Linked DNA regions of Rattus norvegicus. The protein of the gene in region 1 purifies or fractionates together with the protein of each later gene. This does not show direct contact. Links are inferred from orthologs where the notes say so. Each region holds a gene or a part of one and is shown in the gene's direction. Other genes may lie near its edges. The genes, in order: Lmna, Kpna6, Parp1 and Hnrnpm.

Evidence for each region.
Region 2: the proteins of Lmna (region 1) and Kpna6 purify together in Homo sapiens (affinity purification with mass spectrometry; 4 studies listed by BioGRID and IntAct, with this or other methods). This does not show direct contact. The link is inferred for Rattus norvegicus from reciprocal best matches to the Homo sapiens genes LMNA and KPNA6.
Region 3: the proteins of Lmna (region 1) and Parp1 purify together in Homo sapiens (affinity purification with western blotting; 3 studies listed by BioGRID, with this or other methods). This does not show direct contact. The link is inferred for Rattus norvegicus from reciprocal best matches to the Homo sapiens genes LMNA and PARP1.
Region 4: the proteins of Lmna (region 1) and Hnrnpm fractionate together in Homo sapiens (co-fractionation; 3 studies listed by BioGRID, with this or other methods). This does not show direct contact. The link is inferred for Rattus norvegicus from reciprocal best matches to the Homo sapiens genes LMNA and HNRNPM.

Annotation. Positions count from the first base shown.
Region 1 is NC_086020.1:176,255,092-176,259,940, reverse strand, and holds the start of Lmna (prelamin-A/C), read left to right. Parts: upstream 1-1,705; 5' UTR 1,706-1,908; coding exon 1,909-2,264; intron 2,265-4,849.
Region 2 is NC_086023.1:147,280,117-147,284,520, reverse strand, and holds part of Kpna6 (importin subunit alpha-7), read left to right. Parts: intron 1-900; coding exon 901-1,032; intron 1,033-1,517; coding exon 1,518-1,606; intron 1,607-1,994; coding exon 1,995-2,094; intron 2,095-2,336; coding exon 2,337-2,500; intron 2,501-2,800; coding exon 2,801-2,879; intron 2,880-4,404. UniProt on the Homo sapiens protein: Functions in nuclear protein import as an adapter protein for nuclear receptor KPNB1. Binds specifically and directly to substrates containing either a simple or bipartite NLS motif.
Region 3 is NC_086031.1:94,849,192-94,853,595, forward strand, and holds part of Parp1 (poly [ADP-ribose] polymerase 1), read left to right. Parts: intron 1-659; coding exon 660-762; intron 763-3,614; coding exon 3,615-3,731; intron 3,732-4,404. UniProt on the Homo sapiens protein: Poly-ADP-ribosyltransferase that mediates poly-ADP-ribosylation of proteins and plays a key role in DNA repair.
Region 4 is NC_086025.1:15,157,840-15,162,243, reverse strand, and holds part of Hnrnpm (heterogeneous nuclear ribonucleoprotein M), read left to right. Parts: intron 1-1,010; coding exon 1,011-1,202; intron 1,203-2,021; coding exon 2,022-2,175; intron 2,176-2,837; coding exon 2,838-2,887; intron 2,888-4,082; coding exon 4,083-4,143; intron 4,144-4,404. UniProt on the Homo sapiens protein: Pre-mRNA binding protein in vivo, binds avidly to poly(G) and poly(U) RNA homopolymers in vitro. Involved in splicing.

The DNA of each region.
Region 1 (4,849 bases):
CCAGCCCTCACGTTCCACTGACTCACCCATCCACCTCTGTTTCTGGGTTAGGAAGTAGGAGAAGGAGAAGCAGAAGAAATGGGTTTTTGTTGTTGTTTTGTCTGGGAAGTTGAGTGGCAGCCACATAGCCCGAGGGAGAGAACTAGAGGGAAAGGAAGCTACGTCCTAGGTCCTCTCCCCTAGATGCATCCTGGCTTCTTACCACACTGCCCAGTCACCCTCACAGAACTAACTCTCCCAGAGCCAAGTGGAGTGGAACACACCTTTAATCCCAGTCCTCTGGAGGCAGAGGCAGGCAGATCTCTGAGTTCAAGGCTGGCCTGGTCTACAAAAGGCGTTCCAGGGGTACGTAGAGAAACTCCGTCTTGAAAAAGCAAAATGGCAACAACAAAATCTCCTAGAGTCCCAACTCAAGCCCACGACCTAGAACCTGTCCAGTTCTGGAACTGGCAGGTTAATCGGTGCCCTGAGTGCTCCATGGAATGAGCAGGGAAGGCTCCATTGCAGGAGGGGATGATGGGGCCAGTGCAGCTTAGGCTAGGGTTACAGGAGAGGACTAGACAGCTGACCAAGAGTCTTTGATGGAGGCTGAAGAACCTGGGACCAGGGTTACTGTATTGGGAGATAGTCTAGTCAGGGCCCACTCATAACTGGCTAGAAAGGCATGCAGTGGCTGAGGAGGGGTGGCTTTGCTCTTCGTGCTCCCACTGTTAGGAATGGAACCCAGATGGAGACCCTGCATTAATAACCCTCCGACCCCATTCCTCTTTTCAGGCCCTTCTTGCAGTCACAAAAATCTGGAACCTGGTGTCCTAGCCATGTGTTGAATGCACGCACAGCTCTGGTATCTGTTTTAAATTATCCATTAAAATAAGTACAGTCCTGGAAAAAAATAAGTACAGTCTTGGACTTGGCTGGGTGGAGTAAACTGAAGAAAGGGGCTGAAAGGGAGGGATTATAACAGCCATTTCCAACTGTCTGGGTCCAAATGAAAGGGGAGGGGGGATTGGGAGGGGCCAGCTTCTGGCTTCTATTCTTGGCTTTCTCTTGGGGACTGAGGCTTATTCCTTAGATCTAAAACCCAATGTTTGGTTTTAAAGCCAGAAATATAAGGGAAGTGCATAGGTTTAAAAAAAAAAAAAAAAAGGCCCTTGATCTTTGCCCCAAACTTGAGGGCATAAAGTAATATGTTAGTTACCTAAAAACCCAGACGTTCCTTTGCCATCCCACTCCTGGCATACTGAAATGCAGCCCTGGATAGGCCGCTCCTGTGCGTGGGGGAGAGGTGACTCACTGTTACTACTGAGGAAAGGGGAGCCAGTGGTGGAAGTGGGTGAGTCACTGATGGGCAGCAGCCTCAGCCCTCCCCCAGCTTCCTTGGCTCCCTGGGGATGCCTAGCTCTCTCCCTCACTTTGCACCTACTTCCCCTGGTCCCTCGCCACTACCCTTCGCCCACCCACTCTCATTCCTTTACTCTGCCCTTTACCCCAGAAGGCCAAAGCTTGGAGTTGAGTAGGCAGGAACCAACATTGTGAAGCCCCAGGCCAGAAAGGGGTGTTCTGCAGACTGAGGGTTAGCATGCTGGCTCCTCCTCACCATACCTGCCTCCGCCCCTTTGGGTCTAGGATGGCTCCTTTAAGAGCAGTGGATCCACCCCCTGTGGAGGAGGGCCTATTAGAGTCTCTGCCCGGCTGTCAGTGACTCAGTGTTCGCGGGAACGCTGCCTCAGCCTCAACACCAGCCAACCCAGATCCCGAGGTGCGCCAGCGCCCAGCCCAGATCTCCACGCCTGCCAGGAGCGAGCTTCGCCGGCTCGCTGTCCCCCGAGCAGCCTCTGTCCTTCTGTCCGAGTCCCGCGCCCTTCTCGGGACCCCTGCCCAGCGGGCAGCACTGCCACCCTGCCGGCCATGGAGACCCCGTCTCAGCGGCGCGCCACCCGCAGTGGGGCGCAGGCCAGCTCTACCCCGCTGTCGCCCACTCGGATCACACGGCTGCAGGAGAAGGAGGACCTGCAGGAGCTCAATGACCGTCTGGCCGTGTACATCGATCGCGTGCGCTCCCTGGAGACGGAGAACGCGGGGCTGCGCCTTCGCATCACTGAGTCTGAAGAGGTGGTCAGCCGAGAGGTGTCCGGCATCAAGGCGGCCTACGAGGCCGAGCTGGGGGATGCCCGCAAGACCCTCGACTCTGTGGCCAAGGAGCGCGCCCGCCTCCAGTTGGAGCTGAGCAAAGTGCGTGAGGAGTTCAAGGAGCTGAAGGCGCGGTGAGTGAGGCCTGGCCGGCCAGCACCAGGGAAGCAGCAGTCTTCCATAACTGGCCATCTAGTCCCCTCCCTCCCCGGAACTGCCTCCCGCGGGTGACTGGCAGTGCCAAGGGTAATAGTCATGACAGGACACAGCAGGGAGAGGGTCTCTGTGAGAGGGTGGGGGGATATAAAGAATGGTGGGGCATGGAGACCAAGTAGCCTTGGTTACAGGGCCTCACTCTGTCAAGGTGGGATCTTATAGCCATTTGGAGCCTGGGGGATGGGCTGGAGGAAGGCAGAACAGGCTTTACCAGGTCTTGGAACTCCCGAATGAGGCCCGGAACACAGCAGAATGGGTGAAAGGGTTTTATTAGAACTTTCTTGGTGGATTTGGCACTCTGCCAATTTTGCCCAACGTGACTCTGAACACATGATGTCCACTAAAACATATCTCTCACACAGACATTTGTCCGGTGGTATTGTAGAGGGGTCACCAAGGCTGCGTAGCCCCTTTCTCCCATGGCTGTGTACGCAAGGCCTTCTCCTGGTTCTAGGAGCTGGGAATGTCTGGGACCTTTCCTAGACTCTGCCCTCCAGAAGCACAGGAGGAAGCTCCCCCGCAGATCCCACAGCCCTTGGCCTGCCTCGACTAGGAATGCAAGAGAGTGTGGGGAGGGAAACTGGGCACAGAAGCTAATGGCCCTGGAAAATCTGTTATGCCTGGGTCTGGGGCTCCCCAACCCTGGCCCTCTCTGTTTGGTGACTTAAAGGTTTGGAAGCTCTGTCCTTTCCTCCCTCAGCCAATAAGCCACTTCCGGTTTCCTAGCCAAGCCAGACTTTACTCTGGCCCATCCTCCAAGCTGTTGATGTCTTGATCTTATTAAACTGCTGGAATACAATGACATTTTTGAAATCCAGCCGTTAGAGAGCTTCAGGCCACTCCCACCTCACCCATCCCTGCCCCACCCTGCCCCACCCTACTCGACTCCACCTTCTTTCTAAAAGGACTTTCCAAAGCCTGGGAGTGTGGGCCCTGGCTCCCGGGACTCCCACAGGCTCTGTGTCTGGGATCTTTTCTTCTATGCTGTAGACCAAGCCAAAGAGCGTTGGCCATGCGTGCAGATACCTAAGGCTCTGGTAGCTTAGACTTCTCTTCCTCTTTTTCCTTTTGCATTATCTTCTGACAGAGCCCACTGACTATCAGTGGTTGGTCATTCTGTTCCTTACCAGATCCCAGCCATAGGTGGTGGCAAGCTCATTTTCTCAAGTATGAGCGGAGGTCATGTGCACAGATGGGTCCAGCCTTTCTCTCAGCTAATAGGAATTACCTGTCTTTTCTCTATTAGGGATATGAATACCTTATCAAGAAATACATGAGGCAAGTTAGAGGAGTCCCAGTGAGTTAACTAGTTAGTTAAGCTATAGTTAAACTAGTTTAAGTCAACCACCAAAGCTCTTGCAGATCCTGGTGCAGAACTTGTCTAGTAGATCTGGGGACAGGGGGAGTGGAAGATAGAGCTTTTGTTCATCTAGCTGAGCCACTCTGTGTCTTCTGCCCCCAGTGCAGCTGTCCAGGCCTGGGACACCAGGTGGTGTGTACACACATGGGGTAGGGGCCGGGCGATGTGTGGACTTTTTATATTTAGCCACCTGCCTCTATTCTCAACTGAGCCTACCCGAGGAGGCTGGGCTTCCAGGAAGGGGGTTGGGGTGAGTATACACACCTAGGTCCTTGCTGGTGGGGTGAAGTGGAGGCGAAGTGAGCTTAGATGGATGTCTGTCCTTCTATGTCCATTGCAGAAGACTCATGGCTCTGCCCTTTGTATGGCTGGTGAGCTCAGACTGAGGTGGAGAAATGGCCTGAGTGAAGTTTGGGGAGGATGAAAGGCATTGTCCGGGCCCTCCCACCAGGGCTGGGGGTGGGGAAAAGTGACCAATTTAATGTTTAATTCCAGCTCAGAGTTCAGGGTCAGGCTTGGAGTTAGGCATAACTATGAGACCGGTGACAATCTTTAGCACAGTTCAACTTGGATCTCTCAACTGCACCCACAAGGCTCTTCAAACTGGGTTGTAAGTTCCAAGGAGGAGGCAGGGGAGAGGGGGAACAAAACAACTCTCTCCTTCCCTCTTCCTCCCTCTCCTCCAGAGGTTTAGATATCTAAGCTGGGAGAAGGGGACAGTTGGAAGTGAGGGAAGGCTCACCCCAGGCTTATGGGTAAGCTCAAGTCCAAGCTAGACAGCTGCATGGATGACTCAGACGCCACCCTCCTACCCTAGTGGCTTTTTAGAGACAACAGGAGACGGAGATAGACCACAGATGTCTGAAAGGGACAGCTATGGGCCTGGATAGCTACATTTCCTGTCCTGTCTCTACAGCATGCTGGGGTCCCTTTTCTGTCTCCCCCCAACTTTAGATTTATTTAAGTGTGTGTGAGAGTACATGCACATGTGCCACAGTGTTCACGGCAGAACATAGCTTGGGGAATTTGGTTCTCTCCTACCTAATATGGGGTTAGGGATTGAATTTAAGTCATCAGGCTTGGCAGAAAGCACTCTTACCCATGAAACCTTCTTCTAGTCCCTTGCCTCCTTCCTTGGAACCT
Region 2 (4,404 bases), on another chromosome or scaffold:
AAGACCTAGAAGAGTGTGTGTGTGTTGGGGGGGTTTTCATTTCAGAGATCTGAGAATGTGATACATTGTTTCATTATAAATCAGAGTTTAGTGCACCTCTAACTTACCCTGATACAAATTGTCACTGTGTCCAGAGACAGTTAATGAGCAGATCCATCAGAACTTGGCTTGAAACACAACGGAGTTCATAGGTGTGATGTTGGTGTGATGTCAGTGAGATGCAGGTGTGATGTCAGTGAGATGCAGGTGTGATGTCAATGAGATGCAGGTGTGATGTCGGTGAGATGCAGGTGTGATGTAGGGGAGATGCAGGTGAGATGTAGGTGTGATGCAGGTGTGAAGCAGGTGAGATGCAGGTGTGATGTAGGTGAGATGCAGGTGTGAAGCAGGTGAGATGTAGGAGAGATGCAGGTGTGATGTAGGTGAGATGCAGGTGTGAAGCAGGTGAGATGCAGGTGAGATGCAGGTGTGAAGCAGGTGAGATGCAGGTGAGATGCAGGTGTGAAGCAGGTGAGATGTAGGAGAGATGCAGGTGTGATACAGGTATGATGGCTCATGGCTATAGTATATGCCAGCATGTAGGGAACAGAGGTAAAAGCTCAAGGCCAGCCTTGGCCACAGGGTAAGACCTTAGAGAGGAAAACTGGGGAGGAGGGGTTTACTATCCTCACTCTTCCCCTTTCAGAGACGAAAGAACTTCTGGGTCAGTAAAGCCCAGTCGGTCGACCTTCACATGTGCAGCGTGCACATCGCTGCCTGCTGCCAACTACAGGATGGTGGGCAAAGACGTGTCTGGTTCGGCTTCTTTATGTGCTAGAGGTTGGCTGTTGTGAGGCAGGTGGTAGGCAGGGCTGCTCAGTCTGGAGTGACCTCTCAGTTGTGTCGTAATCTCACTTTCAGTTTGAAGCTGCCTGGGCTCTAACAAACATTGCCTCTGGAACCTCTCAGCAGACCAAAATTGTCATTGAAGCAGGAGCTGTCCCCATTTTTATAGAGCTGCTTAACTCAGACTTTGAAGATGTACAAGAACAGGTAATGCTCGAGCTTTGGTTAATGTTTCAGCGGTACTAACAGTATGATAAAAAACATAGTAATGCGTATTTGGAGGAACATGGACAAGTGAACAAGGCTTGGTGCTGCACATATGAATCGGTTAGCCTGTGATACTTACACAGAAACGGAAAGTTTCTTTTACCTGATGTGGATCAGGTCCAAGGTGGGGAGAGAGTCGAAGCTTTCCCTTCCTGCTGGAGGGACGATGGGGCTGTAGTTCAGCCTCTCTGGCTTCAGGTCTTATGGCAGCCTGTCTGTCCCACTGAGCCAGGGCCTCCTGGGGAAAAGCTCTTACAGAACACGTGCTCAGTAAGGATAATTCTAGACCCTAGAAGCTAGGGAGAGCACTTCAGTGGGTCGGGCCCTAACACTGTCCTCAACCTGATGGACCACTTTGTAGCATTGATTATAAGTAGTCACAGAAGCCACCAGGCTCTCATGACAGTCCTTTCACTCCTTTCCAGGCAGTCTGGGCTCTTGGAAACATAGCTGGAGACAGTTCAGTCTGCAGAGACTATGTCTTGAATTGTTCCATCCTTAATCCTCTGTTAACGTGAGTATCAATAGCATTAGCATCCGGGGGTGGGGTCTGTAGGTGGCTTAAGTGGCGGTACATTTTGGGGGGGGTTTACTTAATCCCTTAAGATAATAAAGCCCTAGGTCAGGCAGTGGTGGCACACACCGTAGTCCCAGCACTCAGGAGGCAGAGGCAGTCAGATTTCTGAGTTCAAGGCCACCTTGGTCTACAGAATGAGTTTAAGGATGACCAGAGTTGCACAGATAATCCTAGCCCTTGGGAAGCCAGCCCAGGCTACATAGCAAGTTTCAGACCAGCCAGGACTGAACACAATAGTCAGGGGTCTGGGTTATCCTCTAGGGTTTGATGCTAAGAGCCCTGCTTTAGGCCATCAGTGCTCAGATTATGGCTTCACTGTTTACAGACTCCTTACTAAGTCCACACGACTGACGATGACACGGAATGCAGTCTGGGCCCTGTCAAACCTCTGCCGAGGGAAGAACCCTCCTCCAGAGTTCGCAAAGGTGAGAGCTAACTAGGATTTCTTTTAAGTTTTGGGCAGACCCATGAGAGTCTCAACTCATGTACAAGTAAAAGGCAGTTGTCAGTGTAGAGGGCTATTTTTTGTACCAGGGTAGGAAAGTGAAAAGGTGGTCCTACAGGTTTGGTGACATTCCCAGGGTGTAGAATTCCATGTTGGGAAGGGGGAGCCATGATAGGCTTAGTGACAGAGCTGATGCAGTCCTCCTTACTCTGCTTCCAACAGGTCTCTCCTTGTTTGCCTGTATTGTCTCGCCTACTCTTCAGCAGCGACTCAGACTTGCTGGCAGATGCTTGCTGGGCCCTCTCTTACCTGTCTGATGGCCCCAATGAGAAGATCCAGGCAGTCATAGACTCTGGAGTCTGCCGGAGATTGGTAGAGCTTCTGATGTGAGTGGTTTCAATTCAAGAGGGTTTCCAAGGTCAAAGAGCTCTAACCAAAGTGAGGCATGGTGGTGGGACTGTAATCCCAGCACTTGGGAGACTGAGACAGGAGAATACCAAATTCAAGGATAGGGTGGGCTGCAGTATAAAGACTGTCTCACAGAACAAAGCAGAAAAGCTACCATCAGCAGATTGCTGACCCACCAAAGGTCTGCAGCTGAAGGCATGCATACAGCCAGTGTTGGTTTTCAGCAGGGCTGAACGGGATGCGCTGCCTTTCCACTGATCGCTGTTCTTCCTCTGTAGGCACAACGATTACAAAGTGGCGTCTCCTGCCTTGAGAGCTGTGGGTAATATTGTCACCGGGGATGATATCCAGACCCAGGTGAGGAAGAAGAGGGATGGGATCTTAACTCAGGTCAGCCGTGGGAGAACATAAGAGAGCTGCTTGTGGGAAAAGGTCTTCCTATGTAACTACATGGTCTAACAGAGAAAGCATGGCTTTAAGTGGTTTTAGCACTGGCAGTTTCTATATTATCACGATTCCTTCTTTTGAACAGTTAGAAACAAATCATCCAGTTGTTGCTTATGCAAAGAAAGCTAAATGGAATGGCTGACTTACTGGAATAGTGTAAGGAAATGAAGGCTGGGCCGTGGTCCTTTTGAGACACTGGAAGCTGTGGGATCACCAATACTCAGCTTCAGTGTCTGTGCTCATCACCTCATGTTGAACTCATGCTAACCTTTGGGCTGTAATCCTAGCAATTATGAGTGAGAGGCAGAAGGCTCAGCTAGTCCAGGGCCATCTTCAGTTGCATGAAACCCTATCTCAAAAAAACAAAAATACGAAAAATAATTCCTTCAAACCAGTAGCAGGGTGGGGGTGCAACTGCTGGGGAGGCTGACGTAGGAAGGAAGCAGCAGCCCAGGACTTTGAGACCCGCCTGTGCGGTACAAGGTCCTGTCTCAGAAGAGTAAGCAGTGTGGCCCTGCACACACATGGACATGGAGATGTAAGATAAAGCTGGAATGACCCACAGCCAAGGGCACTGCATGGCTCCCTGTTCCAAAGTTAGAACCCGCTGACTTCCTGCCTGCCGTCCTCAGCAGGTGTCCCCATGAGTTAGTGTGTGCTCTCCCTCCTCTGGCCGGTTATGTGTGGCTTTATTCCACTGATTGCTATAGACACTTCCTTGTAAGTGAAGTCACAACATATTAGTCCTTCACATCTTTGTGTGTTGAATTTGAATTCTTTAGTAAGGCTGAATGGTGTTCTAGTGTCTGTGCATTCTGTTTTAAAGCCTTCATCGTCTTGTAAGCGTGTATGTTGTTTCTGCTCCCTAGCTGTTGTGAATGATGCTGCTGTGCGCCCTGGTGTGCAGTCTCTGCTTCCCTTTTTTTTGGTCACATGTATGCAAAAGAGATTGGATAACATGGTGATTTATGCTAATCTGTAAGGTTAGCAGCCGTGTCGTCTTCTGTCTCTACCAGCGCTGTTCTTCCATGCTCCAGCTTCTCCCTCTCCAAGACATCGCACTTCTGTTATGTCTGTGTCAGCCATCCCAATGACTGTAACGTGCTGTCTCCTGGTTTGACTTCTGTTTCTCTATCAATAAGTGATCATGAGCCTATTACATTGCTAATAGATCATCCATGTATCTCTTTTTGGAGAAATGTCTTTTCAAGCCCTTTGTTCATTTTAGTTTGATTGCTTAGGGTAGAGTTCTTCATGGGGCTGGAGAGATGGCTCAGTTGTTATGGATGGATCAGCTCTGACTGCTCTTCTGAAGGTCCTGAGTTCAATTCCCAGCAACCACATGGTGGCTCACAACCACCTGTAACGGGATCTGATGCCCTCTTCTGATGTGTCTGAAGACAGCTTCAGTGTACTCATAAAGTCTTTTTAAAGA
Region 3 (4,404 bases), on another chromosome or scaffold:
ATGGAAGGGCCTCCTCCCAGAGTAGCCTATTAATGGGCGTGCTGTGCTCACAAGCAACTCCTATGCTGCTGTCACCAGGCAGCTTCTTGCGCTCTCAGTGGGCCTAACACAAGTTTGTAGAGCAGCACAGTAGCTTTGGAATGTGACATTAGCAAGTCAGGCCAGAGGGTGAGGATGCCCTGGGCCGGCGGCAGGCAGGGTGTCTCTATGACGTGATGCTGGGGAGCTGGAGCGTGCTCAGCTCTGTGCCTGATCTCGCTATCACCATAGCCCTGCAAGTCCTGCCCTTCCCTAGCACGTGGCTCTAGAAAGTGCCAGGGTGAACTCAGCCTGCGTGGTGTTCTGGGGAGCAGCTCTGTCTCACTCCAGACTCAGTTCTTATAGTTGTGTTTGACTTTGCCACAGTTCCCAGTCATTTTGTATGCAAGAGACATATGGGTTTAGCATGAGATGTGACCTAAGCCCTTGGTCTGTCCTGGCTGTTCTGGACACTGGGATGAGCTCCAGGCCCCTCCTTATTGGCAGAAGAGGCCCTGAATGGCATAGCATCTCCCGTCTGCCTGGGCAGCAGCTAACAAGGCTAAAGTGACATTGTGGCATGTCACCTGGTATTTGGTATCGGTTTCTAGAGTTCTTACTAAGTCCTGTATTTCTTTCAGAAAGAGAAAATGTGACGAGGTGGATGGAATAGATGAAGTAGCCAAAAAGAAATCTAAAAAAGGAAAGGACAAGGAGAGTAGTAAACTGGAAAAGGCGCTCAAGGTGAGTCCTGGGCTGTGTGTCCTCTGTCCTTTCTCATGCAGGACACTCGGCTGTCCCTACTCACCAAGAGCAGGAGAAACTCTCGTGTGCATGGCTGCTTTCTCCGAGCTTGTCCTTGTTCATAGAGACCATTTTTATTTGGGTAATGGAGCACATGAGGCCTTGGATGCCCGGTCTGCAGCCAGGACCAACCATGTAGAATGTTCGTGTCTTCCTCGACCCTGGGTGACAGACACGGTGATGATGCTTCAGTCCCGTCGAGGCATCATGTGGCACTCTACACCTTCAGCTCACTCATGAGTGTTGGAGAATGAGACTGAGTCCCCAGATGCCAGTTCTCAGTGCAGGCGCCTGGGAAGGAAGGTCAACAAAGGGCTGGAGCGCATGCAGTATTCCCCACACTAAACCGGTGGCTGTTGGCCAGGGAAGGCTCGTTAGAGTTAATTGTGCTATTCGGAGCTGAGAAGCGGTTACCACCTGTAGAATGTTGGGCGCTGGACAGTCTTGGGAACGTGATTTTTCCAGAGCTTGAGTGTGTGGTTTTCAGCTTTTGCTACTGGCTCAGTTATAAGCATATGTGATCTGGTTTTGACGGGTGGAGCCCTCTGCTTAAATGTGTGTGTGTGATATTCAACTGCTGCTTTTTCCTTCTCGGTATGGGTGTTTTGCCTGCCTGTGTGTCTCACGTGCGTCTGCTCCCTGCAGCCCTATGAAGACTGGAGAGACTTCTGAGCTGCCATGTGGATGTTGGGAATGAATGTAGGTTCTCTGTAGGAGCAACCGGTGCTCTTAACTGAGTCATGAGTGGCTCCAGTCATCCCTCTGTTTGATTTTCTTTTTTTAATTTTTCTTTCACATATTTGCATTTGCCTTTCAGTAAGTGTGCTGATGTGCTCTCCAACATCGCCAGTGATAAAAGCAGGATTGGCCCACTCTCTCAGCTCCTTCCCTACTTCAGTCTGTCTGTCTCTGTAGTCTCTAGCCTCAGCCATAAGACAGATGGGTCTGCCCTCCCACTGTGTGCCCTGCCTTGGGGAGAAGTGAGAAGGGTGTTGGTACTGAGAGCCCCAGCACCGGAAGTGGGAAGGAGGGATGGTAGGTGATGGCCTCAGTCAGTGGAGTTAAAACCTTCCCTTGGTGTGGGCAGGGCCGGCACTCCCCTCCATCTTAGGTGCAGCCCGTTGCACGACCCACCAGCCTGCTCTCCCAAGGGGAGAGGGCCACCCCGGCCTACCGCCCTGGCAGGTCACCGTGAGAATGAGTGAGATGCGCATAAAAGCGCCATCGAAGCGTGGGCACTTAGACATTGAAGTCAGGGTTTTCGAGTCCCAGTGTAGAAGGGATCACTTATGCTCTTGCTTGAGCTTGAGTGTGCAGGGAAATCTGTAAGTGGGTATTGGGAAAGATAATGGGGCCCAGAACTTCCAGTCCCTTCTCTGTGCCTTGAAACAGTTTTCTGAGGGTTGATACCAGGGCCCATGCAATAAGGGACTCAGTCTTATTTACAAGTGGTCTCCTTCTTGCTTTGCAAATGTTTTCTGAGAGCATTGCCTGGCTTTATTATAATTGTGGGCTTTTCCATCTGTGCTCAAATTCCCAAAATAGCAACTCTGAGATTGATTTATCAATGAATAAATGCCTAGGCCAAAGCTTTAGCTGTCATTGCCCCGTTTACTCTGAGTCCTGCCACGTGGATAGTTACTTCTTGGGCTTATCCAACCATCTCCATCAGCTAATTAACTTCCTGTGCTGGACTATCCCAGAGTTCCTCTCTTCCTACTGAAACTCCCACTTTCTATTTCCTGTCTAAGCTAATAGGCCAGCAGCTTTTTTATTGACAGGTGATGCTTCTGTACTGTGCCCGAGAGATTTATGCTTTATTTTGATGTGTGCAGGGGTTTGCCTGAGGGGTAAACCTGAGGGTGGAGTTGGTCAGACCAGCCCTGGAGAAACAGCCGGGAAGACACTGTTCACCTAGTCTAGTAACCTGAGTTGAGGTTTCAGTCAATCATACATATCTAATTGTATGTGAAAAACTGTTTTATATGTGTGTGTTTGTATGCCACATGCTTGCCTAGTGCCAGAAGAGGTCAGAAAAGGGTATCCAGATAACCCAGACTAAGTTAGGGTGGTGTTGTGAGCCTCCATGATGGAGTCAATTCCACAGTTTGGGTCCCAGGGACCAAACTCAGGTCATCGGGCCAAAGTCCAACAAAGACTGAGGCAAGAGAATTTCTGTAAATTTGAGGGCAGCCTGGGCTACATGCTTAACTTCAGGCCAGCCTGGGTTCCTGAGTCCGATTCTGTCTCACTCACCTCAGCCTCCCCTTAAAAGTTACTGATTGGACTTTTAAAGTGTATGACCCAGACTTTTAGTATCCCAGAAGAAAGAGGCTCATACTCCCTGCTTCAGTGACAGTGAATCCCACCTCCTTGAACAGTGTCCCAGGTGCCCTGTGGCCAGCCCCTCACTGACCCCTAGTGACCTGAGTTTGACCTACAAAACCTACATTAGGGGCTAGGCGTAATAATACACATCTTTAATCCTAACATTTGGGGGGCAGAGTTAGAGGCCAATCAGCCTGGTATATATAGTGAGTTTCAGGACAGCAGAGTTACAGAATAGAGTGAGGACCCCACCCCATCCCCAAAAAACAACAACAAAAACCCAGCCTTTGCATTATGGAAGGAGAATATTAGCCCCCACACTCTCAGGCCTCTAAACGTGCCCTGTGAAACATGATAGTGCACACACATCAGTGACTGAATGTAACCTTTTTAAATGTAAGGTAAGAAAGCTATTAATTACAGTTTGGAAAGAACTGACCTCAGCTGAGGGCTCTCATCCTCAGGCTCAGAACGAGCTGGTCTGGAATATCAAAGATGAGCTGAAGAAAGCCTGCTCCACCAACGACCTGAAGGAGTTGCTCATCTTCAACCAGCAGCAAGTACCATCTGGAGAGTCCGCAGTGAGTGCCCTTATGCTGTGGGGGACACACAGGAGGCCCTGCAGGAAATGAGCTCCATGGCGCTGTCGCGTGGCTGTGGTGTGGCTCATCCTAACACACCTTCCGTCCAAGAGCTTCTGTTTATTGTAAATAAGACTCAATGAAGTCAGCATGGGTCAAAGGCAAGCAACCAGGTGACAGGAAGTGAACAGTGGGGAAAAACAGAGTAAGAGGGAGGCAGGAGGACAGAGAGGCATACCGAAAGGAGAGGGAGGACGTTCAGTTTACAGGTTTTGAACTGGTGTGGTTTAGGAGAGCTTCCTTTTGGGACCGCAGCTGAGAAGGAAGGCCACCTAGGTGCTTTCTCTGCCTCTCTGAGCAGCAGACATCTGGCTCCCAAGTCTTCATTGGTAAAATCAAATGTTTGATGAGATTTCGTTAAAAACAGTCCTGGTCACCATCTCCTCCCCCAGCTATCCCAGCATGCAATGCATTGCCACATGTCTCTCCTGGTTTAGAACCCAGTGAGGTAACTAGGTGGGCAGGTGCCTTTGCCTTGGATTGACATCACACTCTCCTGAGAACTGCTGTCCACTGCCCGCCATATGTCCCAGGGCTGCTAAGCCCACCCGCACCTACTTAGGCCATTTCTATATTAGTGTTCGCTGCAGGAGCCCTTTACTTGGAGATAAGG
Region 4 (4,404 bases), on another chromosome or scaffold:
GTTACAACGGCCTGTATAATTCCAGCTCCAAGGCATGTTCACATACATTTGCTATATATCCCATATGTACACACAGACACAAATAAGAATAAGATAATCATGCCAGCATCAGATTTTCATAATTCTCTTTAGGTGCTGATACACTGCATTGACTGTACTTAAGTGCTAGCACTGGTGCCCTTGAGGGGTTGGGGAACCTGGGATTATAGAATGGTGATTTCAGACTTTGTGAAAAATCATTGATGAGTTTTACAAAGTTACTCTAATAGTAAGAGTCAACCATTGTATGCCCCTGAAGACCTTGTTTCAATCTGGAATTTTTAACTCAGGTCAGCCAATCCTTTTATCCCTTACCTATTCATTTTAGTCAAAATCGTTTTTGGATTTTTAGTTTTATGCCTTTTGGTTCTGAACTGTTACTCTTCTAGAACTCTTCTGGTTGCTGTGGTTTGTTTTGTCTTGTTAATTTGAGAAATACTTTTCAAACTGTTAGTTTCTGCAGTTTTGTTGTTTTGTTTGCTTGTTTTTCTTTGGTGTTGGAAATGGGAGTGACTGGTGCATACTGTGCTGCTTGATAAGGTCTGCCATTACTAAGTTGTATCCAAAGTGAGACTTACTGAGTACACAGCAAGGAGTGTCAGACTGGACTGTAACAGAGTCCTACGTGAAACTTTTTACTTACTTTGAGACAAGGCTTCACTTAGCTTTGTAGGCTGGCTTTGAGTTCAAGCAGACCTTGAACTGCTTTAGCAATCTTGAGGGTTAAGGCTATAGACCTTTATTTTACCACCACTGCTACAGTGCTTTACTGAGAGCCTTTTTATTGTATTTTATTTGTTTAATGATTGTTGCTGGGGATTGCACTTTGGAATATCAGGCAGAAACTTTCACTGAGCTGAGCTGCACCTCGGCAGAAGGGAGCCTCTGTAGTGGTGAAGGCAGCAGTTCCACTAGTTTCTGCAAGCCTATTCTAACCTACTTCAAGCTATAACGCTTTGTGCTTCTTTCAGGATCCTGATGGTGAACATGCAAGGAGAGCAATGCAAAAGGTGATGGCTACGACTGGTGGGATGGGTATGGGACCAGGTGGCCCAGGAATGATTAATATCCCACCCAGTATCCTAAATAATCCTAACATCCCAAATGAGATTATCCATGCATTACAGGCTGGAAGACTTGGAAGCACAGTATTTGTAGCAAATGTAAGTAAATGGGAACATTCTCTAAAATAGAAAAATAGGGAGGGATGGGAGTATGTGAAAACAGTATGCATTTAATTTTACATTGTTAGAAAAGTGTGCAAAACACTTTAGATTGACTGTATCACTGTTCTACAAGTAATTTAAGTAAGACTTAGGATAGATAGCTTGTTTTTATTTTAAAGTAGACCTTCTACTTTGTTCTCTTGTAACCCCTGCATTTGTGGCTTCAGGATTGATCTCAGTCCTACCCAGGTCTTGTTTACTGAGGTTTTCAGGCATTTACAAAAGCAGTAGCTGTATATGCATCCTTATTGGGGTTTATTTAGGTATAGGGAAGAATGGACAGACAATAGAGTTACAGTTTTTGTGTCTGGAGTAAATGGTGATATCTTTATTCTCTGCAAGGACAAATACTTTTAGGACAAAGTGGGTTTAGGAGTGTTGGACAGACTTAAAAGAGGGAGTGACTTTTTGGGGTTTTCAAGACAATTTGTCTGTGGAGTAGCCTTGGCTGGCCTTCAACTCAGATCCACCTGCCTTTGCCTTCTGAGTGCTGGGATTAAAGGCAGGTGCCACCACCATCCTGCTGGCTTTTTAAGTTTGAGGGGGAAAGTTTGTTAAATGTGAGGAGACTTCGGTTGTTCCATTTAAGAGAAGAGATAATAAATAGCAGAGTTAAGGCCAGGCTCTGCAATCCTATTTGAAAAATTCCACTGAAGTTAATTTTCTTGTAAAGTCAGTCAAGCAAGTCTTAATAGTAAAAGTATGTCTTTTTCTCCAAAGTTTACCTTGAGGTTTCTACCCTCTTCTTTCACCTAGCTGGATTATAAAGTTGGCTGGAAGAAACTGAAAGAAGTATTTAGTATGGCTGGTGTGGTGGTCCGAGCAGACATTCTGGAAGATAAAGATGGGAAAAGTCGTGGAATAGGCACTGTGACTTTTGAACAGTCCATTGAAGCTGTGCAAGCTATATGTATCCTTTTGTGGGCGTTTACTCATGGCAGACAGTGCCCACAGCACTGTTAGACGTCTATTAGTGCACCTAAGTATATTATAATAATAAGGCAGAAGTAACTTTTTTCTGTGACTAGAGTGAATAAATTACTATGGAATCTGAAAATTTTCTGGAGTGGAACACAAATGGATAGACACATGCTATGAATGGTCTTTTCAGAAGAGTTTAGGAAAACTCATTTATAAGAACTGGGACTTTTATTTGTTTATAATATCCTTTTGAATTGAACCTTCTGTCTGTTGTAGAGTAGACATTGAAGAGATCTCTCTCCCTGCTGTAGGCTTGCCCTGGGGTTACATCTTTTTAAAGTTACAATGGAGCATGTCACACATAACTACAGAAATTAAACTCAGAAGAGTATTACTGTATGATTTATCCAGAAAATATGCTATTTTAGAAGTAGTAGAACTCTTGACCTGTTGAACACATAGGAAACTGCTTGCTTTAACTAACCAGAAACATTTTGTAGTATAAAGTCTTTACTAAAACTTCATACCTAAAGAGTTGAAATTGCTTATGAATTCAGAGAGGGACTGGTAGCTATGGGATTGTTACCTTTTTATCGATTTATATAGTATGCTTTAACAATTGTTAGAAATAGCCTTAATTGTAATAACCAGCTATGTTTAATGGCCAGTTGCTGTTTGATAGACCGATGCACGTCAAGATGGTAAGTTACTAGGATCACTTTCTTTGTAATATGTTCAAATAAGTTAGGGGAAATTTAGAATTACTAAAACTATATCTAGCCCTTAAATTAGTAGTCTGCGGAGAGATGAGCGCCTTTGCTCATGGAAATTTTTTCTGTAGATCCCTCTCTGGTTGACTATTACTGTTAACTCCTATGTTCAGGAAGTCCATTGAGTATCCTGCGAGCTCCAGTTTTCAAAGTATAACATACAGTGTTTGGTTAGTATTATATTTGTAATGAACAAATATTTGATTCAGACAGCTTTTAAAGGTCTATTGGAGTTAGTCTTCATAAACAATAACTCTGCTATAGTGTTGCCAAAGAAAATAATTTATAGAAACAGTACTGGAAGATGTTGAGGGCAGTCTGGTTAGGGTTCAGATTCAGAAGTAAATGGAACTATAGGTTTTGTTATTTGAAGGAGTTTAATTCTTTGAATAGCTAATGGATTCATAAGTCTCAAAACACATGAAAAGAGAGGCTAGAGAGATGGCTTAGCATTAAGAGCATTGGCTGTTCTTCTAGAAGACTCCTGTTCAATTCCTAGCACCCACATGACAGCTCACCACTCCAGCTCCAAGAGTTCCAACACCTTCACACAGATATACATGTAGGTAAAATACCAGTGCACATAAGATAAGCATAAATAATTAAACCATGAAATGATAGTGTAAGCCTCACTGGTACTTACTGCTCAGGTGCTGCCCTACTCACCAAATAATACAAATGTATTTTTATCCTTCCTGTTGTTGGCCCAGAAGATAAAAACATACTCCCATATATCTCTTTATGTTTGATGTAGTTCTGTGCCGTAGCTATGTCATAGTTTATTTATATTTAACTAATTATCTGGTTTGTTTAGTTTAAACTTTTGCTTTTTCCCTGGTGCTAAGGACTGGCCACAGGGCCTTGTAAATGATAGGCAGGTGTTTTATCTCTGGGCTACATCTCCAAACCTATCTTTGTTATTATTTTTTATTTTGTTTTGTGTAATGTAAGCTATCCTAGAACTTGGTATGTATCCCAAAGCTGGCCTTGAATTCCTGACCCTTTTTTGTAAGTCTCTGAAGTGTTGTGATTACAGGTGTGGAGGTGTACAGGTGGCTTCTCTGGTTCTTTTGTTATTGGTGCTCCAGTAGAGATTTCTTTTTTTTCTTTCTTTCTTTTTTTCCAGGATGAGAGGGCTTTACCAAAGGGAGACTTTTTTCCTCCTGAACGCCCACAGCAACTTCCTCGTGAGTATATGAATTATACTAAATAGAAACTGTTACAGTTATATTTACACTTGCGGTTGTGGAAAGGTTACCCTGGGGTTCTCTTGATCTGTTTGTCCTGTCACCACCCCACCCTACACAGGTTGCACTATGTAGCATTGGCTAGCCTGGAACTCACAGAGATCTGTTTGCCTCTAACTTCCTAAGTGTTGGGATTAATGATGTGCACTTGCTATGCATGTCTTGATTAGTTGTTTTCTATAGATTTTTCAGGATAAGAAA